3 linked regions of the Lonchura striata genome follow. The protein of the gene in region 1 binds, or shares a complex with, the protein of each later gene. Links are inferred from orthologs where the notes say so. Each region holds a gene or a part of one and is shown on either strand. Other genes may lie near its edges.

Region 1 (10,250 bases):
TGATATATGTTGTAGTACACACGTTAGTCTGATTCTGCATCTGAGCACAAATAGGCAATTTCGGTGCTAATGGTCAGACCAGAAATATTACCACTGACATATTATGTGCAATTTGCTTACACAATTCCACCTTCCTTATGCATGGGAAGAAAAAAAATGGATCATGCAATGTGTCAGGTAGTTTTTTTAACCACATCTGGATGGTTCCGGCTTTGATCTTTCTTCATAAGCTGAAAAGATGTGATGTGCTGAAAAAACCTTTCTGTTCTTTACAGAAAGGTAAAAGTGAATTGATTGGTGAAAGCTGGGACGCTGCCTGTGCTATTGGCTGTGTGAATCAGAAATTAACCAAGCTTCCTCAGATTCAGAGGAAAGGAAAAAGGAAAACTTTGCAGGAGACAAGCTGTCATGTGGGAACAGGCAAGGAGTGTAATAAGTGAAAAATTACTCCTGCCTAGCCATGAAATGTGGGCCTCAGCAAGGATGTTGGTGTTGTACCATGGGGAGTGATGGTAAGGCAAATTCAGGGAGGGCTTCAGAGTGCTGTAGCATTAACTCATCAGACAACTCTAATGCCTGAGACAGCTGACTCTTCACTGTAATCTACCATTGGCCCGAAATGCAATGGAAGCCCCCAAGGGCACCAAGCAGGAATCCATTAGCCATCAACTATCAATCACTTTCCCTATAGTGTCCTTTAGCAGTCAAGGGCTTATGTGTTTAAGCTGCTATCTTAATAACCCATACATCACTGTTCTTCCCAGGGCACAACAGCAAGTGAGCAGTTGTCTCTTCAAGCAAAAAAATAAAAAAAATCACCAGAGAAAGGCAGGTTTTACTAGTGGGAAATCTAAAATTAAAAACAACAAACTGTTTATAGTCTTAAGCGTATCACTCATTTAAAATAAGTTCTAGTGTAATAGAAAACTAAATGCAATTTTAGCATGTATAGGAGTGTATTTGTATGAGGAGAAAAAATACTGACACAGGATTGGAGTATGATTTGGCAGACTCTCCCTGCCAGGTAGCAAAAGTCTCAGTGAGATGACATTGTGTCCCTTAATGCAAAAGAAAGTGTCATAAGTCACTGTAACTAGCAGTAAACCACTGTGATTTTGATGAAAGTGGACACAGCTCCTCAAGCTTTGGCAGAAAACTGTGTGAGAGGATCTCAAAGTCCTCCAGGACTTTGAAAGAAATTAGGTACCTCCAGCCTATTGCTGCTCCTCTGAAAGCCTGAGCAGTGAAAATAACAGAATATTATTAAACTATCTAAACTTAAGAAGTCATAAATACAAGAAATCAAATTGATAAATAATATTGTGGAAATTGTAGTCCCTAATCTAACCCCCTTACTGAAATTTTGTTTTTCATAGTGATTTCTCTGGAACTGCTAAAATTGCCAGGAGGGAGGGGATTGTGTATATGAATAAACTGCTGTAAACTGTCCTACAACAGGAGGCTTTAGTAACTACTCATCCAGTGGTAATTTAACCTGGAACAAAATCATCCTAGTGCAATTCCTAAATTATGGACACACAATTATCAGACATTTGTGTCTTCACTGAGTTTCCCAAAGAGATGGATAGATACTTCCAAACTTCTCTTAAGTGTCACTTAAGCCAGATAGAGGTGAGATAGTCTCAGGCAAATGCCCAAGTTTTTTTTTCAGGGAAAATCATAAAGTAAAAAAGCTTTATCAAGAAAAATGAAGGAAGGGAAACATATAAATCCAGCAGTTGTGTGGCTGGAACAGTGTAATTCTATAATAAGAGGCAATTTAGGTATGATTTAGGATCATATAGGCTTCATTTTAAATCTGGGCACAAGGATGAACTCTCTTTTAGTAATCTAGCTGAAGGATAATTTTAAAGCAAAAGCCTCTTCCTTGGTGTCATGATTTATTGTATAATTTTATCTTGCTTAGACACATCTATTAAGCCTGACATCATTCCTTAGTGTTTCCTCTGTTGATATTACTGAAAATGAACATAAAACCAAGTCTGTGTCTGTCAGGTGTCTGGTTGTGGACAGTCATCTGCTGACAGAGTTGGGTCACCCCCACACCTCCACACTGAGGATTGGGAGGGAGAAAAATCAGCCAAAGAATTATCACAGCACTCCTTTGTATTTCAGAAGACAAACTGCAGCATTGTAAAGACCTGTAGTGTTGTCCTGTGCTGCAGGGTTTGGGCACTGAGGTGTTCACACCTGGTGGCTGTTCTGGGCGTGAAGGGGGATGCTGGAATATTTCTGTGGATGTGGAGCTCTGCTGAAACCATGGCATGAGCTACCACAGTGCAGCTCTAGCAGGCTGGGAGGCACCTCCTTTATTTCTGGTTGTGGAACGGGGATGCAAACGTGTGCCAGGAGTAATACAGCTGCAGCAGATCCTATTAGGAAGAGCGAAGTGAGCTAAGGAGCTCTGGACGTCCTTTCCCAGGCTGTGATCAGGAGCTGCTAATTAGAAATGGGATTTGACAGCGCAGCGCTGGAAGAGAAAGGGAAAAGCAGGAAAGCGTTTTTGAGCAGGGATACAGCAGGAGAGGAGACACCAGGGCGGGTGCATACGGAGGGAGAGGCTGGGATGAACCGAGCAGGATTCCAGCTCCTTCCCCCGTGAGCGGCGCGGGGCCGGCGCTGCCAGCGGGTGGCACCGCGGGGCTGCTGAACCACCGAGCCGGGCACAGGAGACACTGCCGAACCTATTCGCACATCCCTCCAGGTGTTTTCTTGAGCGGGAGATCGCTGGTGGAGTCCATCTCTCCAGGCAGAGCAAAGTTACCCTGGGCTATCCCCAGCAAGTGTAAAGAAGTGGATCTGCAGCCCTGGGAAGAGCAGTCTCGCAAACAGATGATGGTTTTATTCCAGAGCCACATTAGCAGATGATAAAACTGGTACCCTGTCCAAAGGATGCCATCTGGGCTCCCCCTCCCTCAGTCCTATGCAAAGGCAGGTTAATTTTACCTTTGCCTTTATACATGGGAGGTTATGCTGCTGCAGCTTTAGTCCAGCTCTTCCCGGAAACTACTGCCTGCTTACTGAGATGAAATTTCTGTCTGCACTTAGGATATGTTGCTGGTGGTGTCTCTTCCTTCCAATAACACAGCAGTGTGCAGCCATTCTGGCCCATTTTGTGGTGGTGCCGCTTGACTTCAAGGCAAGACCAGTGTGGCAAGCAGCATCTGGACCAGACATTGATTTTTTTTTTTTTTAATACAACACATGGGCCTCTCACGATGACTGCAAGTCAGTGTGAGGAAGCACTGGAGCAGGGAACTGCATTGGGAGTTATATTGTAAAGCGAGGCCCTAGAAGGATCTGCCAGTCATTGGAGTCTCATTGACATGTTTTTCCCTGGCTCATATTCACATTTCCTTTTCTGCTCTCTCAGCTTGGAATAATTTATTTTGTAAACAAAACAGAAAGAGCAGAAGTTTCAGGCTATGTCATTCCCTGGAGTGAAGGCAAACACAAAGAGTGACAGCCTCAGGCTGCATGTGGAGTCTTTTCAGAGAAGACAACTTGACAAGTGCCTTGTCTGGTGTAGAATCAAGGGAAGATTGGTAAACAGTGATTGCACAGCATTCAAAATAAAGACTTCAGGCTTCAAAATAGAAGAGGTTAATCAAGGTCTCTACTTGGCTTTCCCCCTGCTGCGGGAGAAGGAGGAGCTGGATCTCTCACTCTGTTCTTCACATCACTCTCTCTTTTGGGGTTTTTACTTGTAGAATTTTTCATTGTACCTTTTAGGGACATGTGTGAAACCCCTAGGCCTATTGCAAACACCTGGCGTTAAATTTGTGCAGCAACACACAGACCATTGTTGTGCAGAGCAGGAGAGGAGCTAAAATAATTCCTGAGCAATGAGGTAAAATTACTGTGAGGAAAGGAAGAACCCTGAGACATGAATACTTTTACAATACTGTCATGCTGCAAAAGGATCAGTGTTGACTGAATTTCTGAGCACAAAGAAGGATGAAAAAACGCTTTGTGTAATCAAGTAGCTTGAAACAGATTTTATATAAACAGAGTGAGATAGCATTTATTTTTTTCCATACTTCAGTTTTACACTCCTACATAATTAATACGCAGCAGACAACATGTTTTTTCCTTGTACAGTATTCATTTTCCAAATAAGTACAAAGTGTAAAACATTCAGGTTTTCATAATAGCAAAAATATTTCAATAATTTAGAAAGTGAAACAATCAGAATTAAATCAGGGGTGATGAGGGGGTGGTTTTGGTATCATTTTTTGTCAAATTTGTCACTTGCAGCAAGAGGCAAAGTTTGCTGTGCTTGCCATGTCATTTTCAGAGGTAACAGAAAACTCACAAGCATCAGGGAGCAGCAGAACTCACCAGCTGTGGAAGGGCCCAGCACCTCTGCCCTTTCTTTTGAGTTCAGGCAGTGAGATCAGCTACTGCATTTGATAATTGCTAGGCTGAGGGCAGCTGAAATATATTCTGTTCCATTATCTGTGTTCACGCTGTCAAAAGGACCTCAGACTTTGCAACTGCTGTGACTGCTGTGACTGATCCGAGATCGGCCCCTTCTGGGTTTGTTGCCTGCCAGAAATCTCCTGAGCCAATAAATCCACGTTTCAGGGGCTGTGGTGCCTGAGGAGCTTCCAGGCAAGGTAAAGCTGCTGAAGCTCAAAGCATCCTGGATACCCGCACTGGCTTACCCTAGAGAGGGCACAGGTAACTTACCCTGAGCTAGGGAGAAGAAAAAGGCAGTGAGAACACTGCCATTCCTGGGCAGGGAGAGAAGGCTTGTCTTCACTGCAAGAATGGACATCCATGAATCAGAACTGCCTCCCTCCTCTCCTTCCCTAGCCACTCCAACTGTTTAACTTCCAGAGAATACCTCCATAAACAAAAATATGGGCACCAGACCCTCTGATGACATCCAGCATCCCTGAAAGTGTTACCCCATCCCTGAAAGCATCCGAGGTCAGGTTGGTTGGGGCACTGAGCAACCTGAGTTAGTGGGTGGCTTCCCTGCCCATAGCAGGGGTTTGGAAGTAGATGATCTTTCAAGTTCCTTCCAACCCAAGCATTCTATCATTCTATAATTCTGTGATCCATTTGGGATGGCCAACAAAGGGGATTCTGCAAGACTCAAAACCATGAAAAAAAACCTCTCCTGTGACATTTGTCCTCAGCTTTGGCCAGAACAAAGAGGAATTTTGGAAGGAATTTAGTGAGGTTTGAATGTACCAGACAAAAAGGAATGTTAGATTACTCTTCGAAGTTTCCATGGACATTGAATTACTGGAAGAGAAATAGTACTAGTGATTATTTATCAACAAAGACCAGCATGATCTGCATCTCAGTCCTGAGGTGATTAAAAAGAGACAGGTCTGAGCAGAGGTAACTCTTCTGTGCTTTCTATGTTACACTTCAGCTGTAAAAGTTATATAAAGTGGCAATACATTTTTTAGCAGAAAATCTGACCACTTATATAATTTATTCTCTCCTTTGTATCACAATGAAAAAATCTATTTCAACAGTTTATACGTATTTGAGTTATGAAATGTTATATGTGAAGATGTAGACACCTATTTGGAGCAGAACTGGGGTCATGATTAAATGGTTTACTTATTTCCCAAATGAATAAGAAAGGAAACAGGGTGCTGCAACCTTTTGCTCTCACTTCCTCATGAGAGAAGACATAGAGGCTGTCCCAGAGAGAGCAGGGCTGCTGTGCACACACATCTCAGGCAGCCATGGGGAACTGGGTGGAGAATGAAGGACTGTCCATCTTCGTCGTTGTAAGTCCAATTTTTATTGTGATTTGTGTCTGGTGAAAAGTTCTACAGAAAGCTGTGCTGAGCACTTCTCACTGTGCCAGTGAAAGATGCACCTGATTATGCTGAAACTGGGGCAGCAGGTGCAGGGAAAGGCTTCAAGGGAATCATTTTTAAGGAGCTCTCTGGTATATCAGTTGCTGTTGGCTTCATTGCTAACTGAGAGATTATTGTGTATTAACTTTGCTTTGTTAGAAATACTTTAGTTAAGCAAAACAACTTTAAAACCCACTTAACTATGTGCACTTCAACAGAGAAAGCAATGTAAACAATCACCCTTTCTTGCACTTTTATGAACAGAAGTGGGTGTAACTGAAAGCACAGTGTCTTGATGGTATAAAATTTTTATTAATGTCAGATTCAAGAATTTAGAGCAGACATTCATGAATCCTTCAATAAGACAGCTATTATTTTAATTGAATTTGTTTACAGTTTGCATAGAGGGACTGCAAAAGTAGGTTAAATTAATTCTGATCAAGATTTTAAAGTATGGAAAATCCCAGTCCTCCTTGGAGAAAATTAAGTTTATACTCTAGTGTTTTCTTTTTTTATGTCACAGTATAAAGGTATACCACTAGACATATACATGTATATATGTACATATACATATATGTATTAAAAACACGTACAAAACCAAAATGTAAGAGCAGTTTTGATATTGTGATTATCTTTTGTTAGTAGATGTAAATATTGAGAGGAAGAAAAAGAAGGTGCAGAATTTGTATATTTTTGGTGACCGAAATGTGAGCATCTTTATTCCAAGGGGCATTTCTGCTGCTATGAGCAGTCAGTACTTGCACATGACCTTGTAATTTAAAAACATAATCCCAGAGCTGTGGCACTTCAGTGCTTTGAAAGGGAGTGACCGTGTTTGCTGTCACCTTCAGTGACTTGAGGAAGTTGAAACTGACAAGAGATTTTTGGCTTTTTATTTTTCCCCCACCAGAACTGAAATATTAAAAGAATTAATTGAGGCCTTTATTTTGCTCAAAAAAAGGAATTTGGTTTTTGAACCTCAAAGCTGTAACAAGCAGAGGGTAACAGGGAAGGAAACTAAGAGACATAAAGAAATCAGCTAAAAGGACAGACCACTGGAAACCCCACCCAAGTGTTCTGCTTTAGCCTCTACATCTTTACTGTACACTGAACAGGCAGAGGTTTGTCCACTGCTTGACAGAAACAGGTCAAACACGATTCCTACTGATGTACTTCAACAAAACAGAAACACTCTGTCATTTTAATAAGTGTCCTAAGCACTTAATCCTGAGATGAGCTTGGTGTTTTAATGAGGACTTGGGGATTTCCTATATACTGCCTCACCTTGATGGAAATCCCTTCATTTCCCAGTATTTATTTACATTTTCAGTATTTTAAATAATCCCAAGTGTTTTTTACAGTGTTATTTAAGCCAAAAATCTAGCAAAATATATGACTTAGGAGGTGCAAGGAAGTTTAATGTCACCTTTTCTGGGGTTTCTCCTAGTTCTCAGACTTTCTCTGTTTTCATGCACCACTTATTAAAACTACTTAGACCGAGTGCAGTCATATAGATATGTTTGGGTATGGGATGTGAAATGAGCCCACCAGCTCCAGGAGAAAAAATACCCAGATTCATCATGACCTTTTTTGCCAGGTGAACTTGTAGATGCCTAAGAGTTAATAACATGTCTTTCCCTAAAGAGCCTGCACCTCAGGATGTGTAAGTGTGAGAAAATTCTGTGGTACAGCTACACAGAAGCCTGGTTTGGAGTAGTCTACATGCTGCCAAAGGGCCTGTGTTGAATATTCCCTGCTGGCTGATTTCAGACCCTCTTCTTGAATTCAGCCCTATTTGTAATTTAGCCTATCTAAATTTAGATGTCAAGCTTCTTTGTCACAACTTCCAAGTCTTCCTCTCACATAGGTTAATGTGCCAGTGGAACTGCCATTTGGAAGAGTCCCTAACCTTTAATGGTATTTAGAGATTTAACTGGACTCAGAATTAAACACTTGTAATATGACAGTCCTGATACAACCAACCCTAAATTCCTTGACCTGAGAAAACCTTTCAGCTGCACATTGCTGTGTTTTGGTTTATTGCCACTCCTGTACCCTGTGTTCACAAATCAGAGCCTGTTTATACCAGAAAGATTTCTATCACCCTTGCTGAAAACTTTATACCCTGCAGTACATCTCTCTGTGCAAACAGGAGCACAGGGAAGTAACTGACTCTTATCTGAACTGTGTAAATTCAGATGGATTATTTCTAACAACAAACTGTAAGCTTCCTTTTAATTCTCTTTCAGCTTGTGTGGCTGGGCTTAAATGTCTTCCTCTTTTGGTGGTACTATCTTGTATATGATGTCCCACCAAAATTTTTCTACACCAGAGTGCTCCTTGGCGTAAGTATAAGACATTATTATTTTGTCACAGACAATAATAACACAGCAGTTTTGAATAGTTTTAGCTGATCAAAACTGGATCTAGTGGCTGGAGCAGCAGCCTATTGTAGAAATCACATGCAAGCAGATAACTGCAGGCAGATGTTCAGTGCTTCTGAACAGAAAGCTGGCACATAATAGAGAGATCCCACTCTAAATATGTTTTCAGTTAATGATTATGTTCCTAGTAATTAAATTAAGCACTTATTGTGGCTACTTTATTAAGCAAAAGATGAATAAAATATTGCTGTTGAACTGTTGTGCAGTCATTTCTCCTTGCAATTATTTTTCAGAGCATGAATAGTTTATAAAGATATTGGCTCTGAAAAGCAATCATCATTCATATATTCATCAAGAATGCAAGTGGTAGTCAGGTAGTGAAGTGATCCTGGATCCTGGGCTATTCCATGTGATCCAGCTGGTTAGGGCAGCATTATGTGTCCTACTACAAACTTGCTTCCAAAGCTACCACAGGTCACGACCAATTGACAGGGAAAATTAATTTGTTCATATATTTAAAACCCTGATCACAGGCATAAAAATCAGCCTAAGCTTCAGATTACAGAGCACAGCATTTTGCTGAAGGTTTGCAAAACCATGGTTTAATTCTACAAAGCATGAAATCCCATTCTGCGTATGGCTTCTGGTCTGTGGATCAAATCCTGTGCTTTGCAATCCTGATGCAGTTGCCTTTGAAGTCACAGAGACTTGTGCTTGGATAAGGAGAGCTCAGTGTAAACCCAAACAGCTGTGCTCTAAAACCTAAAAGGTCTCAATCCATACAAGGAGAGCAAACATTATTTTTCTTCCCTTCATTGCATTTTGATTAATATGGTCATTTTTTTCTTCACTTTGAACAGTTCAAAAAATTTAAATAATTAAGGATGTAAAGGCCAGCATTAGGGAAACAGATTCCTAAAAGCTGAGGCAACAAATTTCCCTAGACTCCTTTACTGACAGAGAACTTCTCTTGTAAGTTGTCCATAACCCCCACCAAATGAAACCACAGACTCTTTACAGCCCTGGGACACAAAACCTCTACTAATGGCTTAGATTTGCACCTGTGTTTGCCTGTTGAATGCCAGACATGACAGGGAGCTTTTTATACAATCATATTAATTCAAAACTGAAAACAGGTGTCTGTTTGTCTGCAGGAGTGTGTTCTGCCTGTTTCTGACTTGATCAGAGCACGATTCCTTTGAACATTCACGGTGTAAATGTGAACTCTTTACCAGTTATGATATAATGCATAAATGCAATCTGTACCTGTCCATGCCCTGGATAATGTCTTAGGTAATACAATTAATAGCAGCATCTCTCTAATTACAGCGTGCTCTGGCTCTTGCAAGAGCCCCTGCAGCCTGCCTGAATTTCAATTGCATGTTGATTCTGCTGCCAGTATGTCGAAACTTGCTCTCCTTCCTCAGAGGATCAAGTGCGGTAAGATGAAGAAAGAATTTCAACATTTATGAAAGATATTATCTTTCATACCTAAACAGACTTGCAAATATACCAAGGAACTCAGTCCAAGTTCCCCAAATGCACCATATTTTGAGGATGTCCTTTTATGAGAAGCAGATAAGGCTGGAGTTTTGCTATGAGCAAGACTGAGGTCTAATGCCCATGGGGTATCTAGAGCTCTGTTGAGAGTTTAGCTTTGAATTAGTCTCCTTTGAGTCCTCCCTTTTCAGCTGCCTCCTGGGCATGGTCCTGCCCTGGATGCAAAGTCCATTTTTTGGCTGGCAGAAGCTGTTGGTGCTCACACATATCTATTGTTTGTCACTGATGTTACACCCACTTAGAGAGGGAAACAGTTGCCTCTGTCTGTCTTTGAATGCCCAGTCCTTAAGGTAAATGTAGTCTTTTATAGGCTTTCAGATTGGGACTTTTTTTTCAGCTGGCTCATAAATGACATTCTTTCTTGTCTCAGTTGCATTTCCATCTCAGATGAAATAGTTCACAGGCCTTTTGACTTTTTCTAGCTCCCAAATCCAGATGTTAAACACAGCACTAAGGA
Region 2 (9,772 bases), on another chromosome or scaffold:
TTTGACAGTTTCCAGAGAAACTTCCATCACAGAAAAAGTAATCATTTCATTATGGTGTCAAATAATCATTACCTGTCTTCCCAGGAGAGCTGTGAGGACCAGCTAATCACATTTATAAAACATTGAAAGTACAAAATGCCACAGAGTACCAATATCATTATTAAAAACACTTGCAAATGGAAAAGGAGGCTGAGTAAGAAATAGAGGAATAAAGCACACTAAGTCATAAAGGCAACAGTTATTATTGGTTTTAATATTCACACCACAAAGTGGGAGAGGAACTTCCACTGCTTTTGAAGAGCCAGACAGAAGCTGCAGGTGAGTCATCAGCATGAAAAACAGATTAATAGGAAAGAAACCCAAAAAAGCGATAGGCCATTACCTGCACTATAATAAGCAGCAGCCAAACCTATGGAGGCTATTCCTAGGGGGAAAGAGGAGAGAATTATGACAAGTAAGCAGCTCAAAAAACATCTAAAATTCCCTAATGAAAAACATCACTTTGCAAAAACAGGACAAATGTGATTGCAACATAGATCACTATATGAAAGTTATTTTTTTCTCTCAGTATTTAAAAAAAACTTCCATTCTGCAAAAGCATTAAAAGCACAGGGGCTGGGGTCAGAAATGAAAATTTTGTGACATTAACTGGGAACAGAACCTCAGAGGGACTCGATCGAACCATGACACCATACTTACACCACACATACTACTCTTAGCACAGTACAACTTAGAGTGCTCACACAAACCTTACAATGGTTATTTTCCCCTTTAAGTGCTATGTGGAGCCAAAAGACAACTTCTGCAGTAAAGTTGTGTCAGAAACTGGCAGCTCTTTTCTCTCAGGGAGAAGAAAGCAGCTGAAGAGTGCCCCATGCCCCAAAGGCTGCTGCAACTGCAAAGATCTTCTCAACAACATCCCTGAAAGCAATGACAACGTGGTGTTACTGCAGTGGGATCTGCTCAGCTGGAAAGCAGGATAGACCAGATTTTCCCCAGCAGCTCTCTCAGTACAATCCTAACAAGTTGATTTTCCCTGCATATTCAGCAGTGTTTATAAAGATGCCTTTCAGAATATCCTGTAGGACTTCCCATTTCATACAGCATGGCCACACTGCAGTTTTCCACTCCTATAAAAAGATGTTTCTCAACCTAACAGCCCCTTCAGAAGCTTCACATTTCTATTGCTGCATGGCACATAAACCTTCTGTTCTTGATCTTTCAGGAGTCTCTTAAAATTCCATCCATGAGCTTCTGAGGTTCTCCAGATGAGACTGAAAGTCTCACAGCGAAACTGCCATGCTGAGGCTTCAGACTCATTTAGAGGCTATGAGAAAGGAAGAGTTCAAAGCACAATCATTCCTCTTCTGGAAAGGAAAATGCCTGGAAGGCAGGCATTTCACTAGGGGCACTTCAGGAGTTTATTGTGACCCTCTTCCCTTAAAGCAAGCTCTGAAATGAATGCTGTGGCCTTACCAACACACAGAGACCAGGATCGGATGCCAGGTGACCTCTTTAGGTGAAGATGGGAATTTGTGCGTTTTTCAACCAACATGTACATCTTCAACAGAAACTCCCAACAGCTCAGTTTGACTCATTAAACTTCACTGGACCAATAAAACAAAAACAAAACCAAAAATTTAAATCATTGACAATTTCACCAGTTTCCCTTCCAGTATTTACCAAGTCTTACTCTAGACTATAAAAGATACTCCAGGGTAAGAACACAGTCTTTTTGGACAGGAAGAGCAATATGTACCCTCAAACCAACCACAAAGTAAAACTGTCATGTTGAGAGTTGCGTAACAACAACAGGAATCTGAACTCTTGGAAGAAAGTTCTCATTTTAGGGGTAAAAGTCCCTTTCTATTGTAATCAGATTCCAGAAGAAAAATGTGAAAAACAAGAACCTGGAACAGCGTTGTTGCTCATTCATGCAGCCCTTCAAACAGATAAAACAGTAAGGGGAATGGAAAGATTCTTTTCCTGTGAGCTCAAAGTGTTGTGTGAAGGGCTAGTCTGGGAGCTGGGCAGGACAGCACAGCCTTCTGCAGCTCTGACATGGGATCCCATCCCAGGAAGGGCTACAGCCAAGCACTGCCAGCATCCCATAATGCCACAGATGATGTCCCCATCTTCCAAGACACCTCAAGAATACAACCAAGAGCATATTTGTCTGTCCTCAACAAGACCATGCCTTCAGCCTAGGCAGAAACAGCAGAGACTAAAAAGGTACTAATTAAAACCAGTAAGAGCTGGGTAATCCCGTGCAGCATTTTCAGTACATTTTTACTGTTTTACAGCATAGCATCAAGAGTTATTTAGGGTGAGAAAGACCTTTAAGATCCAACCACGAACCTAGCACTGCCTGGTCCACCACTAAAACATGTCCTTAAGCACCTCACCTACATGTTTTCTGAACACTTCCAGGGATGGTGACTCCACCACTTCTCTGGGCAGCCTGTCCCACAGAACCAGTTTAAGGAGGCTGGCATCAAGCTGCTGTTAGCTGCCCATGATAACAGGTTTCCATAAAATGCCAACCTTCATCAGGTTTTGAATAACCATGAAAACACGAAGAGAGCAGGTCTGAACACATCCAAGTTCTCACAAAAGGCAAATATGTGATTTTAAGTCCTTTAGTTATCCAGCTGCCCTTGGATACAAGAAGATGCTCCTGCAAATCTGGTAGTGTGGACACAAAGCTCCAGGGGAGCAGATTTAGCCAGGTCTTTTCAGTTAAACAAAAAGCACCCGCGACTTTGATTTTAATCTCTTAGCAACACATCTGAGAGCATCTGAAACCGAAAGAGCCAAAAGCACTTAAGCATGAGACAGGCTCCATCTCCTCCGGATGTCAAGCATCAAATTTTAATTTTCAAATGACTCCTTTGAGTTGTTCTCAATATACCGGAAAATACTTCTGCATCTACAATGCCTTCTCGTGCCTGTTATCAAATCCAAGTTATAAAATACATCAGGATCACTGCAGAAACCTCACTGTATTTAACAAATATTACACCCTACTTAGAACATAATTCTCACAGATACCAGTCAAGTCCATTAATTCAAACTTTGATATCTCCCTCCACAATTATTTAGGGAAGTTCAAGCAGGCAAATGCCAGTTTTGGTTTAATGTTGGACACTCAACATCAGTTCATTGTCTCTTACAGGCTGCTGCTTGCAAGAGATAGACCTTGGAATAAAAAGCACCAAAGCAGCTTCTAAAGTTACATTTAACAAATAAATCATAAACACACCCTAAAGCAAATACTAAAGTTTTACTACAACAATGTTATGATGACAGAGAAAGAGGTGTTTTTGTGCTGCTCTTTAGTTTTATATTACAAAACTCAATTTTGTTTTAATTTGTCAAGTGTGACACTGAACTGTTCTCCAGCATCAAAATAACATTCTCAAGCTTCCTCCAAGCTCTCGGTTGAGAGCAAGCAAAACCCATTGGAAGAACTGAAATTTTCACCCCTTGAAATCTCCACCACCAGCAGCCATCAAGTCAGGACCACACATCAGCTGAATTTTCTTTACAGACCTCATTTTTCTTTACCTCCCAAGCCTGCACCTGCTCCCACCCCAGCCTGGCTTCCCCCTCAGACCCTCCCCAGCCAGGGACCGACCCTGCCAAAACCCACCCACGACCCGCGGCTTTTGTCCCCCCGCGCGTGGGGAACCCGAGGCTGCCCTTCACCCTCACCCAGCCCCGCGCCCGCGGTACCTGCCGGGCTCCAGCCGCCTTCCGAAGGGACCCGCGCCGCCTCCGCGCCCCGCGCCCTCAGCGCTGGTCCCGCCTCAGGGACGGACGGGCGCGCCCGCGGCCATCTTGGGTGAGGGCAGAGGATGCGCCCTTCCCCGCCCGTGAGGGCAGCGCCGCGCCAGGATAATCTGCCAGTACTCAGCATGGCGCAGAGGATGGGCTCTAAACCTCCCTTCCCCGCCCGTGAGGGCAGCGCCGCGCCAGGATAATCTGCCAGTACTCAGCATGGCGCAGAGGATGCACCATAAACCTCCCTTCCCCGCCCGTGAGGGCAGCGCCGCGCCAGGACAATCTGCCAGTACTCAGCATGGCGCAGAGGATGGGCTCTAAACCTCCCTTCCCCGCCCGTGAGGGCAGCGCCGCGCCAGGATAATCTGCCAGTACTCAGCATGGCGCAGAGGATGGGCCCTGAACCTCCCTTTCCCGCCCGTGAGGGCAGCGCCGCGCCAAGACAATCTGCCAGTACTCAGCATGGCGCAGAGGATGGGCTCTAAACCTCCCTTCCCCGCCCGTGAGGGCAGCGCCGCGCCAGGATAATCTGCCAGTACTCAGCATGGCGCAGAGGATGCACCATAAACCTCCCTTCCCCGCCCGTGAGGGCAGCGCCGCGCCAGGATAATCTGCCAGTACTCAGCATGGCGCAGAGGATGGGCCCTGAACCTCCCTTCCCCGCCCGTGAGGGCAGCGCCGCGCCAAGACACTCTGCCAGTACTCAGCATGGCGCAGAGGATGGGCTCTAAACCTCCCTTCCCCGCCCGTGAGGGCAGCGCCGCGCCAAGATGGCGGCGCGCTGCCAGTACTCAGCATGGCGCCTCCGCCCGCGGGTGCTGCTGAAGTACGAGCGTTCGATGTTTCTTTGGTTGTTTCACTTTAGCGGTGCTTGGAAAGAGCAGAAAGCTCGCGTGGCCAGAGGAGTGAACTGCTCCAGGGTGTGTGGGTGAGCCGCAGTGGATGCAGTTGGACCGGGCCGCGATGGGTGAGGTGGACGTGGCCCCTTGCATGAGGGGGTCGGGGAGGGCAGGGGAGCCCCTCGCTGGAACAGGGCTCCCCTGGGGGCTGTCCCCGGGCTCGGGGAGGCCAGGAAACGTCTGGGTTCTCGATGGCAGCACTCGGGGCAGCGCTGCCCCAAAAGCGCCGGTGCTGAGCCTCGGCTGTGGCAGAGTGAGAGAAGCTTTGGGGTTGGAAGGAGCCTCTGTGGAGATCGCTCAGGCCAAACCCTGCTGACACACCTCGAGCAGCTGACACAGAAACGCGTTCAGGTGGGTTTGGAACGTCTGCAGGGAGGTGTTACCGATTTTAGGTGCTCTCTAAACACAGACACAGAGTTTAGTTTAGTACGGAGACGTTTATTCTGCTCAGGATGCAAAGTGGTTTCCACAGATCAAGCACACCAAAGCTTTTAACTACGTACACGTTTCCGCAAACACAGACATTAACGTTCACTGCCTACAAGTTACATAATTCTCTTAATAATTAGTGTTCTGTCTTCTATTGGTTAATAATTCACTTGTCAAGCTAATAAGTCTGCATGTGCAGTCTTTCCTTCTTGTCGGTGGGTTTCTTATGTCAGCGGTTGCAGATTCCACCTGCCAGAATTACCTTTTACCCACTTGGAGCTGATTTCAGCACAGTTGCTGAGTTGGCTTCATTTGTTTCTTCTTATATTGGGAGTTCTTGCCAGATGGCCCCTAAATTCTGAATTCTTTGTGTCCACCGCCAGCAGGCATCCTTTTTTCTCAGACTTTGTTAACCTCTGCTAGGTCTGAAATCATTAAAACATTATCAAGCCCTAGACTTTAACAAGGCAATTTCATCAACAAATAACTTGTTTTTTCTAAAATCTAAACATCACTTATATTTGGAAAGCAGAAATATCAGCGATAATCTTACAGGTCCAACATGAGTTTTCTGAATTGTACATCAGCTGAAGGCTTGGGTTTAAAAATCTGTTATTTGGGGAGAAAAAGTTTCTAATTCACTTGAAATACGGAGTAATTTTCCTGTTGTGGACAAATAGGCTGCATTTGGAAAATCTTTCACGTTTCAGTCAAACATCATTCACATGGGAAAGCTGTTCCTGTTCAATCCATTAGAGCAACTGCTTATGTCAGGCAGGATGGGTGAAGTGCAGACATCTGTCGTTTAGCTTAACTTCTTAAATTATTCTAAGTCAGTGTGTAACTTCATCTACAACTAATATTTGGTCCTGTCTCAGTTGCACAGGAATGTCCTTCCTGGGTGAAATCCTCAATTTTTGGCTTTTTTCCAAACATGAATATATTCTGGAGTGTTTACTCAGGCCATGACATGATAGAAATTTATTTAGCTGTTCTCAACATTAGTCTGGTGAAATCAGTGATTTTCATAACATTCTATAGTGAATATAGGGAAAAAAACACCCCAGAGTCCATGGTAAAGACATTTAAGTGTAAGTACTGGAAAATACCAGCTGATGTGCAGTTTCTCTTTAAGTGTGTTAATGGGAAAGGCAGTGAGGAACTGCAAGAATGAACTGGCCTGCTTGTGAGTCACAAGGTACCAGCTGCTGGATTTGGATGAAAAATAGGAAGTAATAAGTATCACGTGTGCTCAACCCAAACAAACAGCTGACTGATTCTTCTGGGAAGATATTTATGTCTAATTAGCTGTCAATCAGTTTTTATAAGCAACTGGTTTCTCTGGGAACCAAATGTTAAGCTGTTTTAATTGATACAAGACAAAAGGTTTCTTGTGTTATTTCTTGAATAAGCAAGAAATTCATCTGTCCCCTCCACTCAGCATAAACCACACAGCATATGTTTTATTATTATTTTACTAATTGCAAAATTATCAGCAACTCTACTTCTGCAGTTCTTCAGAGGTCACACTAGAATAACCTGATATGACTTAATTTAATTATGAAAGTTACAGAGACGTTTTTTCAACCATGGGAATTAGCACATACATACACAATCAAATATGGCAAGGATCCTTCTAAGTTTCTGCTATCCATTAATGATTCTCACAGCATTTTTTCTAAAATACAGCATTTTTTCTAAAATATGGGGATTTTTCCCCAGCTCTTTGAAGTAGGTGAGTGCTGTTCTGCCTACCAATAGAAAAAGGAAGAATGAACATTTTGAAAGCCTGGGCTTAACAGCATGAATTCCAAACCACTGCTGCAGAAACAAAAACTATTTTCCAAAATAAACAATTCAGGAATATGTGATTGACTATTTGTAGACTTCTTCCTCAACAATGTAAAAATAGATTCTGTGGAAGTGTTTATGTTCTATTTGTGTAGTAAACACACTTGTAACTTGTAAGTCATTGACCTAAACCCAAGAACATGCAGATAGAACACAGCTGGCCTTTATTTTGAATTAGTCTGACATGTCTGTAATTCTGGTGCTTTTTCGTTTTCAGACCATTTCCTTAAATATTCTTTTCTAGATACTTTTTTTTTTTTTTTTTTTTCGCCCTAAGGTCTTAAACTTAGGAATTCAGCTATGCAATAAGCATGTGATGTTACTAAGTGCCAGGATAAATTCCCAGAGTGCTTGCTTGGAAGCAGCGACCAAATGCTTTGGACAGAATTGGCTGCGAGTCCTGTTAGAAATGAGCTCACCCCACAGAAGCAGCTCTCCATGCTGCCCCTGACCTCTGGGAACAGTGTGTGTGCAGCCTGCAAAGCACAGATTTCATGGAATACATGTTCACCAGCTGTAGCCAAGAGTTATTGCCCAATTCTGACAGCTGGGGAGTGGCATGTGCTGTCACTGTGCCATTTACAGCTGGCACTGCCCTGCAGGACAGATGCAAAGCCTGTAACACTTTGCAGTTGTTTGCAACACACTGTTTTCACAGGGAAATTCTTATTTCTCCATTTCATTCAACATGTATCAGGGCAGGGATAAATGTTACAAAGAGCACGAAGGCAAAATACATCAACAGTGGCAATAAAAGAAGTGATGCCTTTAAGTGCTACCTGCTGCTGGCATAGGAAAGGTTTTAGAGATGGAGGCTTTTGGGAAGCAGCCCTGCAAAAGTGGAAAGTGTTACCATCCCCAGATTAAAGCAGGATGGTGCTTTCTTGTCTCAGGGTGTCAAAGATCCACTGTGCTGGGGGAAAATGGCATCCATAGTTCATGGAAAACAGAAAGTGCTCTTGGCAATAAAATAAATGAGACATCTAATTATCTAATGATTTCACAAATATAACTTTATACTGTGCACTGAAACAGATTTCCTTGCACACTTTTCAGTTTGTATAACTTTTAGCTCTTTTTGTTTGAATTTTTAAATCGAAATAAATTCAATCCAAGTATTCTTAAAATGAAGGATAACATAGGGCTATTTAATGTACGTACCTAAGATGTCCTCAATATTTCTGCAAAATGCTTCCATTTCTATGCAGTTCTCTGTTTTTCATTGTGAATACAAAATAAACATGGGAGGAAATTCAGTCTTCTGCCCTTTGATGATTTGCAGAAGAATTGTTTAATCCAGTCCTGTAACAGATGACTAACTTAGTTCACCAGATTCCCATCCCTGGAAACACTCAAGGCCAGGCTGGATGGGGCTTGGAGCAACCTGGTCTAGTGGAAGGGAGGTTTGGACTAGATGACCTTCAGAGGTCCATTTTAAATATGATCTGTGCACTTATAGAAATATATAAAACTGACATGTTTTTTGAAGAATCACTGTATCAGTTTTGGATAACAAATGTAGGTGTAATCAGAGTATGAAACAGGAAGATTTTAGCTGTGCCTTTAAGTGCAAATCTCAACACATTTCTAATTTAGAACTTCTCATGTATCCTATCACCTTATTGGTCAATGCAACTATAGCTGTTGTATCCTGGTGGAATAAGGTGGGAGGTTGGCACAGCTTTTTTTGTATGAAAATACTCATCCACAGGAACAAGAAAGATGTCAGATAATGCTATATTCCAGCAAGTCTGTAGGAAATGCAAATTCTTAGGTCACATAGGAATTGCTCAGGAGTGGTTGTGCCTGTAAAAAGCTTGGGTTAATATGAAATGTGAAAGCATCTTTAATGAAGAGAGCAGAGGCACAGAAAATTATTACCAAAGCTATTACAATTTTTACCTCAAGCCAGGATTAGTGATATTTTTTCCAGGGCATAATGCTGAATAAAGCAGCATTAGCTTACTTTCCTTGAAGTGGTAAGTATGAAAACGTTTCTGTTTGGTTTTATCATGGTTAAGCTGAGGTATTCTTGATTTCTCTGACCTCAGTGATAACTCACCTATAGTCTGAAATTAAAAAAAAAAACCACTATATTCTTCCCTGGGGTTATCTTCAGTGTCCTTAAAACAGAACAAGTAAAGTTCTGTTTTTTGGTTAACAAACCCCTCCGGCTGTGCCTGCTTCCAGCCTTTGTGCTCAAAACCTATTTGTGGCTTAGAGGTCACTGTAGAAGGAGGGGATTTACCCAGTGTTGTAGAAAAGTTGCAGTTTAGGCAGGAAATTGCATGTTTTTTGGAAGTTCTGTGGTTTAATTTATAAAATGTCATTTTACACTTGAATAGCTTATCTGTGTAGCCGTAGGCGTTTGCTTGTACGTGTGGGTTCCTGTGGCCGGGGGTTAAAAAAGGAGCAGAATGTAGATTGAACCTTTCTGTCAAAATCCTACAACCTGAGGTTCAGAAAAACAAGAAATCATAAACATCTTGATTAATACTCCGGGGCCTTTGGGACTGTGGAAGGTTGATGTCTGATTAATAATCCTGTTATGAGGATTTGTGATTTCTGCCTGGGAACAGCATTGCTGGTACTTGTGTTTTGTTACAGGAATGGGAAATCGCAGCATATTGGTTAAATAAAATGGTGATGATGCTGTATTTAGTAACTGGCAGAGTGTCATTTCACTTTAAAGCCATTGGGAAAAAAACAAAAATTGCGGGGTGGGGGGGAACCCTTTGTACGATATAACAGAGGAGCGCGTTGTAAAAAATGCGGAGGGACGCTCCAGAGAAGCGGCGAAGCCGAGCGCG
Region 3 (10,485 bases), on another chromosome or scaffold:
GACAAGATCATGTAAATAAACAAACCCTAGAGTATTTCCCATTCTTTCCAAAGTTCAGGGAAAATATGCCTCTCTGTTGTGGTCCCTAGTCCTCCACTAATTCTCATGGTGGACCAACTACTTCAGTTCTAGGCTTACCATGGAGTAATACAATCTGTTCTTCTCCTGAGGAAACTTGAACCAGTTGAGAAGTCAGTCTACTTGAGCATCCCAGACAGGCAATACAGAGCTGTAGTCAGCTCAGATGGATACCAACACTACCCCAGCCAGGAATGTGTCAGCAAATGCCCTTAAGGTGTCACATGTTCCATATTCTGTGGTCATGGCATGAAAAGGCCATGAATGGACTACAAAACAGAACTTTCGTTATTTCAAGAAAAAAAGGTGGGGGGACAATGGAAAGGAAAGGAAAGGAAAGGAAAGGAAAGGAAAGGAAAGGAAAGGAAAGGAAAGGAAAGGAAAGGAAAGGAAAGGAAAGGAAAGGAAAGGAAAGGAAAGGAAAGGAAAGGAAAGGAAAGGAAAGGAAAGGAAAGGAAAGGAAAGGAAAGGAAAGGAAAGGAAAGGAAAGGAAAGAAAGGAAAGAAGGAAATTAATTATGCCCTTGGGATATAGGATCAAATGTATCCTAGGGAAAATGAGGTTTAAATGCTGTACAGTGTGGTCAGAGTTGCCCATAGCCAGTGGCTCAGAGCATGTGGGTTCTCCCACAGGGGGTATCCAGGCTGTTCCACAGTTCTCACCTCATCAAGCATGGGCAGACCAGTACTCCAGGAATTACTCCCTGTGCCGCCTGTGAAATGGACCAGTTTTTCTCCCCAGATGCTCCCTGACTGCACACAAAAACTTAAATTTGAGCTGGAAATATCTGTTGTTTGACGGTCATGATGGAAAATATCAAACCAATAATGTGCATGCACTTTTCTGATGCTTGGTACAGGCTTAAAATAATTGTGTAAATAAAAAGGACATATAAATATTTCCTACTGCTTTCAAGGGGATAAAGGCAGGGACAAAGTGCCATGTATCTCTCTGTGCTGAACATGTCAACTGTATTCCCACAAGTCTCCACAGAGCAACAATGTACAGGTCTGTTCAAATTCAATAGCCCCTTCAGGAGGCTTAGGCTGCCATTCAGTTTGGGCTTAGGGACTGGAGTCTATTTTAAAGGTAGAAAGATGGTGATTATAAAAGGCCATAGGCAAGAAGAAACCCTCTTATAAAGATTACAGAAGGGTCACTTAGAGTCTGATAAATTTGAATGAAGAGCCAGAGGAATTTATATTTTTTTTTTGTTAGACTTGAAAGTGCAGCAAGATTGAAGCTTTATGCCTTTGAAATAAAATGGTGGAAGGGAAGCACAAGATTTTACTTTGGTAGTTCAGGAAATATTAGTCTTGTAAAACAGAGTAGCTATAGATTTTCTTAGTACTCTAAACAGCTCTTTTCACTTCCCTGGTGCAGCCTTCCTAGAAGACATCATCTCTTACAAGCAAAGATATGTATTAGATCTGTATTTATGAAACACAGTATATCTAACATCTGATAATATACAGAGAGTGCTAGCAGGGAGGGGAATCTAGTCATGCAGCTGACACTCAAGTTTGAATTGATACATATAATCTTTAGTCCCTGTTACCTTCTACAACAGGCAGGTGAAAAATGTTGTTCACCTGTCTAAGCACCTTGTGGGAAAGAATGCACAATCAGATATTGATCTGTATTTATTGCCATTAAAGTGGCACACTCATATCAGCAAGATGGGGGTTGTCACTGGCTGATAGTAAAATGTCTCTGCAAATGGAAACCCGTATCAGCATCGCTGGGGACCTGCAGAAGTACAGAGAACCAGATAAGGCCAAGCCACAAAACCCTAGTAAGGCTTAGCGTCTGTGAACAATTTCTCAACTGAAGGAAGTACAAGTATGAAACAACCATCACAAAGAACGTGAAGCCTAAAGGTTTGTGCCATGCTCTTCTGCTTACTCAGATCCATAAGGGAAAAGATGAAGATGAGGAGGAGGTGAACCCCTTTCAGTGCTCCAGGTAGGAAGATGGCAGAAGAACTGCTGTTTTGGCCCAAAGTGGAAAGGCTGGGAGCAGTCACACTCAGAAGACAAAGCCTCCATGACACGAGGCTGTTGCCCTGATTTTTAAAATGTTAAGTTTTATTTTATAGTTCTTTTGAAAGTTTTAAAGTTCTCATAAAACTTCTTTAGCCTTCTGATAATGTTTACATATTTGAGAGTTCCCACACAATTTCATATATAAATAGAATAGTTTACATATTTCTCTGTGGGTGGAGAGAAATGATTGATTGATTGATCTTTGGACCAGTGTGGCTGGAGAGGTGGTAATTCCATTCTCCAATCCACGGTAACCTTCAGAATTCTATAAATACCAGATGTTTGAATAAAACTGTGTCTTTTTCTCTTTTGAACTTACCAAGCTTCTGTGTACTCATTTTTTGTCCAATAGCAACAAAAGGTCAGGAATGGACCACCTCCCCCTGATTACAGTAGGGCTGGTCTCCAGAACAGCCCATGAGTAAGACAGGTGCAAAACTAAGCAAGCACTTTTGGAAGTTGAGTTGCTTATGATGGATGTAAATAGCTTCAGTGTCTTCAGTGAGGCTGGATTGGAAACTTCATTCTTTTTCTAAGCTTTTGTCTGATAGAAAAAATTTAGGCTGGAGAAGAGAGCCCCATCAGAAAACAGACCCTGTATGAAACAATTCCACAGCCTCTCTAAGAGGGACTGCAGAACATCATTGCCCATTTCAGTTCTGATCTGAGCTCCTAAGTCAAGACAGGCTTTTTAAGCAACTGTGGCAGTCTGAGAAACCGCAGCAGTGACGGGGGAGGGGAAGCAGCAACAGGGAGTAGGAATTTTGGAAAAGAGAAGCAGCAAAGCAAGAACTAAAAGCAGGAGACAGATGATATGAAGCTGTGTCAAAAAGGGAAGTGGGAAGGAACAAAATAGGAATATAGGAAGTGGGACAGTTTGCAGTCCAGTCAGGCTGAAGCAAATTAATGTTTACCCAGATGAGCGCCCAATGCACAGAACAGTTCTCATGGCCACTCAGGACTGCCTGAGAGAAAGGTCACATGAAAAAAAAATCCCGGGAGATGAGAAGACATGCTGTGACCATGTCCTGTGTGTGCAAAGAAATGAGCACTCTTCTGCCTCCATGAAGGAATTCTCCCTGCTATTCTGTCTGTGCTCAAGGACAAGCCTCCTGCTCAGCCTCTGCCCTCCTTTACAGGGCTGTGATATGCAAGTACCATTTCTGAAAGAGCCCCCTTACTTTTATTTCATCATCTTTGAGGGGGCAAAACACCACAGAAAGAGAGGGAGAGATAGGTGGTCCTCACTGCTTTGGATCCTTGTTGGGGAAAAGCAGTATCATGCATTTCATCCCTGCTCCGCAGTCTCACATGGGTGCCATGCAAACCCAGCACATCCGGGTCGCTCTGAGGTGACCCAGCTCAGGGCCCTGAAAACCTCCCAGAACAAAAGTGTCTCATTGAGCAATTAATTCCCTTTAGCATCTCCCTCAAACTCAGCAAAGGGAACAAGAAACCACAGATGTTTGCCCTGCTGCACATGCAGAAGGAAACTCAAGTCAAGAGCACCTCTTGGTGGTGTGAGAGGACATCAGAGCAGCAGCAACACATCTGCATATGCTCAGTCCAGGTTTATGAGCCTGTTTCCTGCAGGTTCCTTCCTTTTCCTGCAGTATGTACAAATGAAAGGTATTAATGCAGCAGGTGCCAGTTGTTCTTAGAGTGATTACTGTACATGTTGAGTGCAATTTCCCATTATCAAATAATCCCATTTAATCCCATTTAAATATGATGGAAAGAAACATCCTGAAAGATCCTTGTTGTCCCTCTACAGAGCTGCTGGTGAAGGAAGGATGTTTATAGATTCACAGCACAGATTTTGACTGGACAAGAGCTGACTGTCCATTGCAGTTGCAGGGAATTATCTTGCAAAAATAATTTGCCCAGAAATGGGCTCTTGACAGGACTTCATAGCTCATTGCTGGACATGCAGATTTACAGTGTCTTTGACATCGGGCCCATCTGTATGTGGGTTCTCCACAACAGTCCCTCTTCCCTGACCAATTAAACTGGTCATCTTCTCTGGTCCCTTCCACACTGCCAGTCCTACAAACACATGTGCCAGACTACCAGGACAAAAGTAAACATTGGTGTTCAGGCATTCAGCAGGTCAGTGGTCCTTGCTTATCCCTGCCACCAGGTCCTAGAATGGCTTTTGCCTTTCCACCAGTAGCATTCTCTAGAGCCTGATACACCTGCCTTCCAACTGAGTTCATATATTCTGTGCCTGCCTGTCCTTTCCAGCTCCCCTCTGTAAAAGCCTTTGTCCCTCTCTCTTATGTCCTTCTCTGACCTGGATTCCTGTGTGCCATTTCTGCCCTCACTTGCAGAGTTGTCAGAGGGTTTCCTTCCTCCCGTTTCCCTACCACCCACAGAGGGAACACCTCGTACAGCTGCTCATTTTGTACTTCTGAAATAGTGACGAGACTTGTTAACATTCCATGGTTGAAGGTTTCTGGGCTGTAGCCAGCACTGAGTGACAGCTGGGAGCACTCTCCTCCAGAGCAGGTCAGTCACAACAGCTTCCTGTGGCTGCAACAGCACAAAGGTCATCAGCCTTTGGAGAAGCGCTTTACTCAGAGTTCCTTCCTTCAGGAACATCCCAGCTGCAAAACCACTGTTCTTGCTCTGATTGGTCTCCAGGCAAAGCCTGGAAATTCTTAATTAATTCTGTGCCACCATATCTTCTCTTCTATAAAACCCATCTCCTGCCCATCCACTCATGGGGTCAGGCTGGACCACCCAGATGTGCACACATAAACTCTTTCTGAGGCTTTATGTTGCATGGGGGGAGAAGGAAGGAAGAGGAGGCAAACCCTCATTTCAATAAAGAAAGGAGTAGAGCTTCCTGAGATCATTCTGCTCTTGTCTCTTCTTTCTTAGGGTGATTGCTTTCTTCTTCTCGATGCTTAGCTCTAAAAACCTTTTCTGAGGTCAGTGAGGACTGCCTGAGAGAGTTGGGGTTGTTCAGCTTGAAGAAGAGAAGGATGTACTAGTAGTCTGGGCAGGTAAGTAAGTGCAGCAATACTTTTTTTGCCCACAGTAGAGGAGGAACAGAGCAGCCATTGGGTCGCAGCTATTTGCTAGAGGCTGCATGACTTCCTTGTTCAGCTTTCACAGTATTGTTCCTTGTGATGTTTCACCCTTGACACTTGGGGGCTCTGTGAAGACCTGAAAAACCTTCATTACCCCTCATCACCCTTGTACTCCCACTTCAGAGTCCCTTCCCTGCTAACACCTCCTCCAAAGCTTGGATGATAAAGGAGGGAGGAGAAAACCCACCCTTCCACATGCTCACCCCGCTTCTAACCCTTGTTCAGCTCCCCTGGGAAAGCAGTTTGGTGCCCCCCGCTGCCCGTTGGGATGAGGTGGGAAGGGAGCGGGTGAGACAGGCAGGGAGAACGAGAGCTGTGACAGCAGCCGTCACCCCGGCCGAGGAGTCACGCCTGCCCCGCCTTCAGCCAGCGGCCTCTGCCACCGCGCTCCGCTGCGGCGGAGGGGCGGAGGGAGCGCAGGGCGATCGAGAGAAGTTCCCTCTTCCACTTCCTCCCTCCCTGCAACCTGCTGTCCGCAGACCCACACTTGCCCATCCCTCCCTGCTGTTTGCCTTGGCCTGACTTCCCTTTGCCTCGGGCACCGTCCTCCGCCACGGGTCAGAGCCATGCAAGCCATCAAGTGTGTGGTGGTGGGAGACGGGTACGTACCGTGCGGGGTGCGGGGGGCGCGGGCGGGACGGGCTCTGACCGGGGCACGGAGCACAGTGGATGCTTGCTGAGGCTGGCCCCGCTTTGCTTCTGACCTCCTGCAGGCTTGCTACCACTGCAGACATCCTCGCTCTTCCCTCCCCGGGGCAAGGGACATTCTTCTGAGGGAGCGTGGAAAGAGGGCATTTCGCAGGGCATCTGCACGGAAGTGCTGCTCATGCATCTGCGTTTCCATCTGCATTCATGGGAAGTAGAGCAGATCTGTCCCACACACAGGAGGTGATGGTGTTCCTGCCAGATTCAACTTGTAGGCAGGAGTTGGATTTAAAACCCATCAGGTGCAAGTGCTCTCCTGCAGGTGAATGGCTCCTTGAAAGCCATGTGCTCACTGGGAATGACTGGGAGAGGGCATGGCACTCTGGTCCTGGCAAGATGTCTGTCAGGATCTCCAGCTTTTCTCAGCAGGTTAGCTCCGTACTGGGGTGTGCTGGAGACTGCTGGAAAGGGCCCTCTGTGGAGCTCTTTCTACTGAGATAGGCAAAAGTATAGGCCACTTTGGGAGTGGGAGCTAACAAAACCTTGCCTTCACAACATGGTGGCTTCTCTGCCCATGTCCCCTGATGCCTGGAAAAGGCCTGATCCAAGACTTCAATGAGTTAAGTAGTCATTGCTGCCTGGGGCAGGAAGGATACAGTGGGCAGAGCACCTTCCTGCCCTGTGGGATGAGTAAATGCAAGGGAGGGAAGGAGGAGAGTCTGTGCTTGAAATGGAATAACTTAATTTCTTTCCACCTAGAAGCTGGCCAGACTTATCTGGGGCAGCTGTAAGGTAGTAGATAAAGAGACATTTACAGCAGTGCTGCTCCCTACAATCACTTCCTTCTTTAGACCTTGCCTGGGAAAGATGTCTGCACACATACCCGTACATGTCAGACATGTTCTCAGGGGCTGGGGCAAGGGGGTGGGAAGAAGGCATGAGGAAAGACAGAGCCCCAAATAAAAACTGTAACCTCTAAGAAAGGTCCCTGAAGGCTTTAAACTGGAGCTGGATTAACATCTCCACTGGGCATTTATCTCTTACCCAATTCCCCATCCTGTTTGCCCCTCACACAGAGCACCAACTGTGTAGCCTTCCCTCAAGGCAGCATCTCCTCACATCATGGTTAACCCCACCACATGTCCTGTTTTACCAATAGGTAAAGCCTTTATAAAGCCTTACCTTTCAGTAACAGCCCTGCTCCCAATGTCTAGGACCTCAATTCCTCTTAAATGTCTTCTGTCTCATCATTTTGCTTCTCTGTACACCTCTCACCTTCTTGCAACACAACCCCCATTGCTCCGAGCTCTTGGTTCACCCCTCACCTCCCTCCTGGCCATGCCAGCAATGTCACCCTCTTGGCTCAACCCTAACAACTACGGGACCTTCTCCTATCACTCAGCTCACGTGTTGTCCCATTGCTGTTCTCCCACTATAACCGCTCCATCACAGATCACTGACCTCTTAACATGCCCTGGGTTCAATCACAGGAGCCTGCAGATGCCACTAACCTCACCTCTGTGTGGTAACCTTCACCCCTTCACTGACCCTTTGCACAGCTCTCTGTTCAAGCACACAAATTCAGAACCTCCCCCTCATCCATGACTGAGCCACTCACAGGCCCATCGATCTCCTGAGGCATTTCCTGTAGAGCTTCACCTCCCTCAGTAACTCCATAAGAAGGAAGCAAGACACCTGGGGAAAGTGCAGGGTTTGAGAGAGGAGGATCTAAGAAAGGGGGTTGGCAGGAGGAAGAAACAAATGTCAGAAGAGCTCAGCTTCCCCCTCAGCTGCCCCGCAGCCAGCCACAGAGGCAGGTGCCTTGAGACCTGACAAGGGCACACAAAAAGGCAGAGCTGCAGCCCTGTGGTAGGGGACTTTGCAGCTGCAGCTGAGATGGTCTGAGAGTCTCCAGCAGCAGAATTCCAACCTTTGCCCAGAAAAGACCTCTCCCCACTTCTGGGCTGTGCTAGTTGAGGTAGGTTGCTATCACCTGCCTGTGTTCTGTAACTGAAAAAGGGCCAAGCTTTCCTAGGCCACACAAACCTGAGAAACAGCATCCCAGCAGGAGAAGGATTTCCTTTCCAACACCTGTCTTGGCTGCTTAATTTTCTTCCAGTTTCTCTGCACTTCTTTCCCTCACCACAGGCTTCAGCTTGCCCACAGCACCTTCCCCCACATGATAGCCTTATTGCTCCTTATCCCACCAATGCTCTCACACAGTCTGCACTGTGTTGCTACCTTGCACTCCACCCTTCTGCAGCAGGCTGTGGGGGAGGCTGAGGAGAGAGGAAGCACCAGTTTCTTATCTCAGAAACACCACCAGCAACTTCCATCAGCCATGGGGGCAGGCAGCTTTCTGGCTCCTTACAGCTCTCTGTGCAGGTGTTGCTGCAGCTTGCTGTAGATAAGAAAGATTGAGTAAAAGACTTGTTTCCAGTTCCTGGCCACAGCAGCTGAAAAGCAGGCAGGAGTGCCTGTACTCGAGTGCTGAAGCTGGCATGGCAGCTTTGTCATGGCACACCAAGCCAATACACCTGTCCTGGCTGAGAGCCTACAGCACTCTGCATGCACTGTAAAATGGGCTCCCACCTCCATCTCAGAGTGGATGTGTTTTACCTGAGTAATCTCTGTACTAGACCATAAACAAGCCTTCATGCTCAAAAACAACAGATATTTCTGGGCAACATCCTGTCTTTCTTCCTGCCAGGTTTCTAACCTGTTGTTGTGCACTGTCTAGCCCTGTGAATGTTTTTCTGCTTCCAGAGGTCTCCAGATAGAGCTAGGCTAGAGGTGTGGGAGGATTGCCCCATCTCCATCTCACCCTAGCAAGACTGCCTGCGCTGCCATGAATTCCTGCCATTGTTTTATTTCTCTTCCAGGGCTGTGGGAAAAACCTGTCTCCTTATCAGTTATACCACCAATGCCTTCCCAGGAGAATACATCCCCACTGTGTGAGTAATTCATAAACAGGTCCTGGAGTGGGTGGGAGGCAGGATGTGAAGGGGCTCAGTGATGTCATGTGCACTCCATGGGTCACAATCTCCATGCCAAGCAGAGGAAACCCAGTGAAGGGCTCTCTAACTTTGGATCTGTTACCTTTCACAAGAAGCAACCTTATACAACCCTGGTGTAAATGGGATATCTGGGAGCCTCCAGCCAACTCAAGGTCTATTTGCTTGCTAAGTTTACAAGTAGCAGATGGGATCCTACTGGCCAAAACAAAGAGACACTAGGTTACAACAACTGGGACAGACCCAAGAGAAGGCAGATGGATGGACATGGGACCCTGCTTCCTTCTCTGTCCAAAGCACTTGCTGTCATTGAAACAGTCATAGATTCTGCATGGAGCAGAGTCACAGAATTGGTTGGAAAAGACCTCTGAGATCATTAGGGCCAACCACTAGCCAAGCCCTGCCAGGCCCTCTACTAAATCATGTCCCTTCTAACGTGCAGATGCCATGAACACATTCATAAGACCTTTGTGGTGGTTCCTCCCTATCACTGGTTTCCCTTAATCTGGGAAAAAAGAACCAAAAGGACCAAGAAATAAAATTTTCTAGGATGAGCGTAGGAACTTCTCTGTTGCTTTATTATCCTTTTTTTTCCTACCAAGACTTTATTCCTAAGCATGCAATCCTGACAGTTGTTCTAAAATATTTCAAGCTCAGTTGTCAAAGGGTGATGTGATGCATTGTTCTCATTTCCAGCAGGGCTGTTGAGGAGTGCAGCAAACTACAGAGACACGGATTCTTCTTCACTTCTCAGAATAAAACTAGGTTTTAGAACACAGAAGACAGGGGCTTGGCTCTAGAGCAGACACAGTTGTGGGAAGGATACTGGGGAAAAAAATGGGAAAAGAAAACAATTTGTGAACTTGCATGCAAGGTGTAAAAGGTGTAGCTGCAGCCAGGCACCTGTCCAGAACAGCTGAATGATGGGGAGGAAGTTGATGAGTGAGGATTCCATAAAGTGGAGGTTAACAGGAAACCAGTGTCACCCAGGTGAGCTGAGAAGAGGAATCACCACCCTTTGCTCCTGGGTGCACCTAGTGAACCCCACCTACACTACTGGAAGGGCTCCCTCTTCTACTGTTTGAGCCATGGCCTATGTCTCTGAATTTCAGATTTGATAACTATTCTGCCAATGTGATGGTTGACAGCAAGCCTGTAAATCTGGGACTGTGGGATACTGCTGGACAAGAGGATTATGACAGGCTGAGGCCACTCTCTTACCCGCAGACGGTGGGTCACACTCCCTGCCCCTCCTCCCTACCTCCCTCAGCTACATCTCCATCCCTCACTGCAAAACCCAACATGTGCCACAGAACAGTGACAGGCTTGTTACTGCCTCTCTCTGCCCTTTTCTGAGAATATCTCTGTTGATATACAACTGCCTTGAAGCTGAAAGTTGAAAGATTTCTTAAAGATATTTTGGAGCCTTTATCTAAACTCGTGTAACTGATATAACTGAGCAAGAAAACAAGACATTCAAAGACACTCTTGAGCCAAGCTGACACTGACTTTGTGTGGGGCAGATGCCATGCACAGCCCTGGAAAAAACCTTCCCTTTGTAAAGTTCAGGTGGTTCATGGAATTTAAGAGCTGAGGCAGGAGCTTGTC

Evidence for each region.
Region 2: the proteins of CYBB (region 1) and CYBC1 are in contact, whole or in part, in a cryo-EM structure (PDB 8KEI), measured with the Homo sapiens proteins. The link is inferred for Lonchura striata from reciprocal best matches to the Homo sapiens genes CYBB and CYBC1. Residues at the interface, in NP_000388.2 of Homo sapiens: Trp28, Asn74, Leu75, Leu76, Ser77, Phe78, Leu79, Arg80, Gly81, Ser82, Ser83, Ala84, Cys85, Cys86, Trp206, His210, Phe212, Pro266, Met268, Trp270, Lys271, Ile273, Tyr280, Tyr324, Phe326, Lys328, Leu335, Glu336, Trp337, His338; in NP_001028218.1 of Homo sapiens: Arg22, Leu26, Ala37, Ser41, Gly42, Asp43, Trp47, Phe50, Tyr51, Phe57, Gln61, Asn62, Glu64, Lys77, His97, Asp98, Gln99, Val100, Val101, Val102, Leu103, Arg108, Ser111, Glu115, Val117, Arg118, Tyr119, Phe120, Arg129, Ala131.
Region 3: CYBB (region 1) and RAC2 share a complex: the UniProt entries of both Homo sapiens proteins name them as parts of the phagocyte NADPH oxidase complex. The link is inferred for Lonchura striata from reciprocal best matches to the Homo sapiens genes CYBB and RAC2.

Annotation. Positions count from the first base shown.
Region 1 is NC_134604.1:108,559,749-108,569,998, forward strand, and holds the start of CYBB (NADPH oxidase 2), read left to right. Parts: upstream 1-5,595; 5' UTR 5,596-5,732; coding exon 5,733-5,777; intron 5,778-8,098; coding exon 8,099-8,194; intron 8,195-9,562; coding exon 9,563-9,673; intron 9,674-10,250. UniProt on the Homo sapiens protein: Catalytic subunit of the phagocyte NADPH oxidase complex that mediates the transfer of electrons from cytosolic NADPH to O2 to produce the superoxide anion (O2(-)).
Region 2 is NC_134621.1:2,916,624-2,926,395, reverse strand, and holds the start of CYBC1 (cytochrome b-245 chaperone 1), read right to left. Parts: upstream 3,875-9,772; 5' UTR 3,736-3,874; intron 1,608-3,735; 5' UTR 1,562-1,607; coding exon 1,477-1,561; intron 425-1,476; coding exon 383-424; intron 1-382. UniProt on the Homo sapiens protein: Functions as a chaperone necessary for a stable expression of the CYBA and CYBB subunits of the cytochrome b-245 heterodimer. Controls the phagocyte respiratory burst and is essential for innate immunity.
Region 3 is NC_134607.1:23,189,606-23,200,090, reverse strand, and holds the start of RAC2 (ras-related C3 botulinum toxin substrate 2), read left to right. Parts: upstream 1-5,690; 5' UTR 5,691-5,784; coding exon 5,785-5,819; intron 5,820-8,745; coding exon 8,746-8,817; intron 8,818-9,989; coding exon 9,990-10,107; intron 10,108-10,485. UniProt on the Homo sapiens protein: Plasma membrane-associated small GTPase which cycles between an active GTP-bound and inactive GDP-bound state.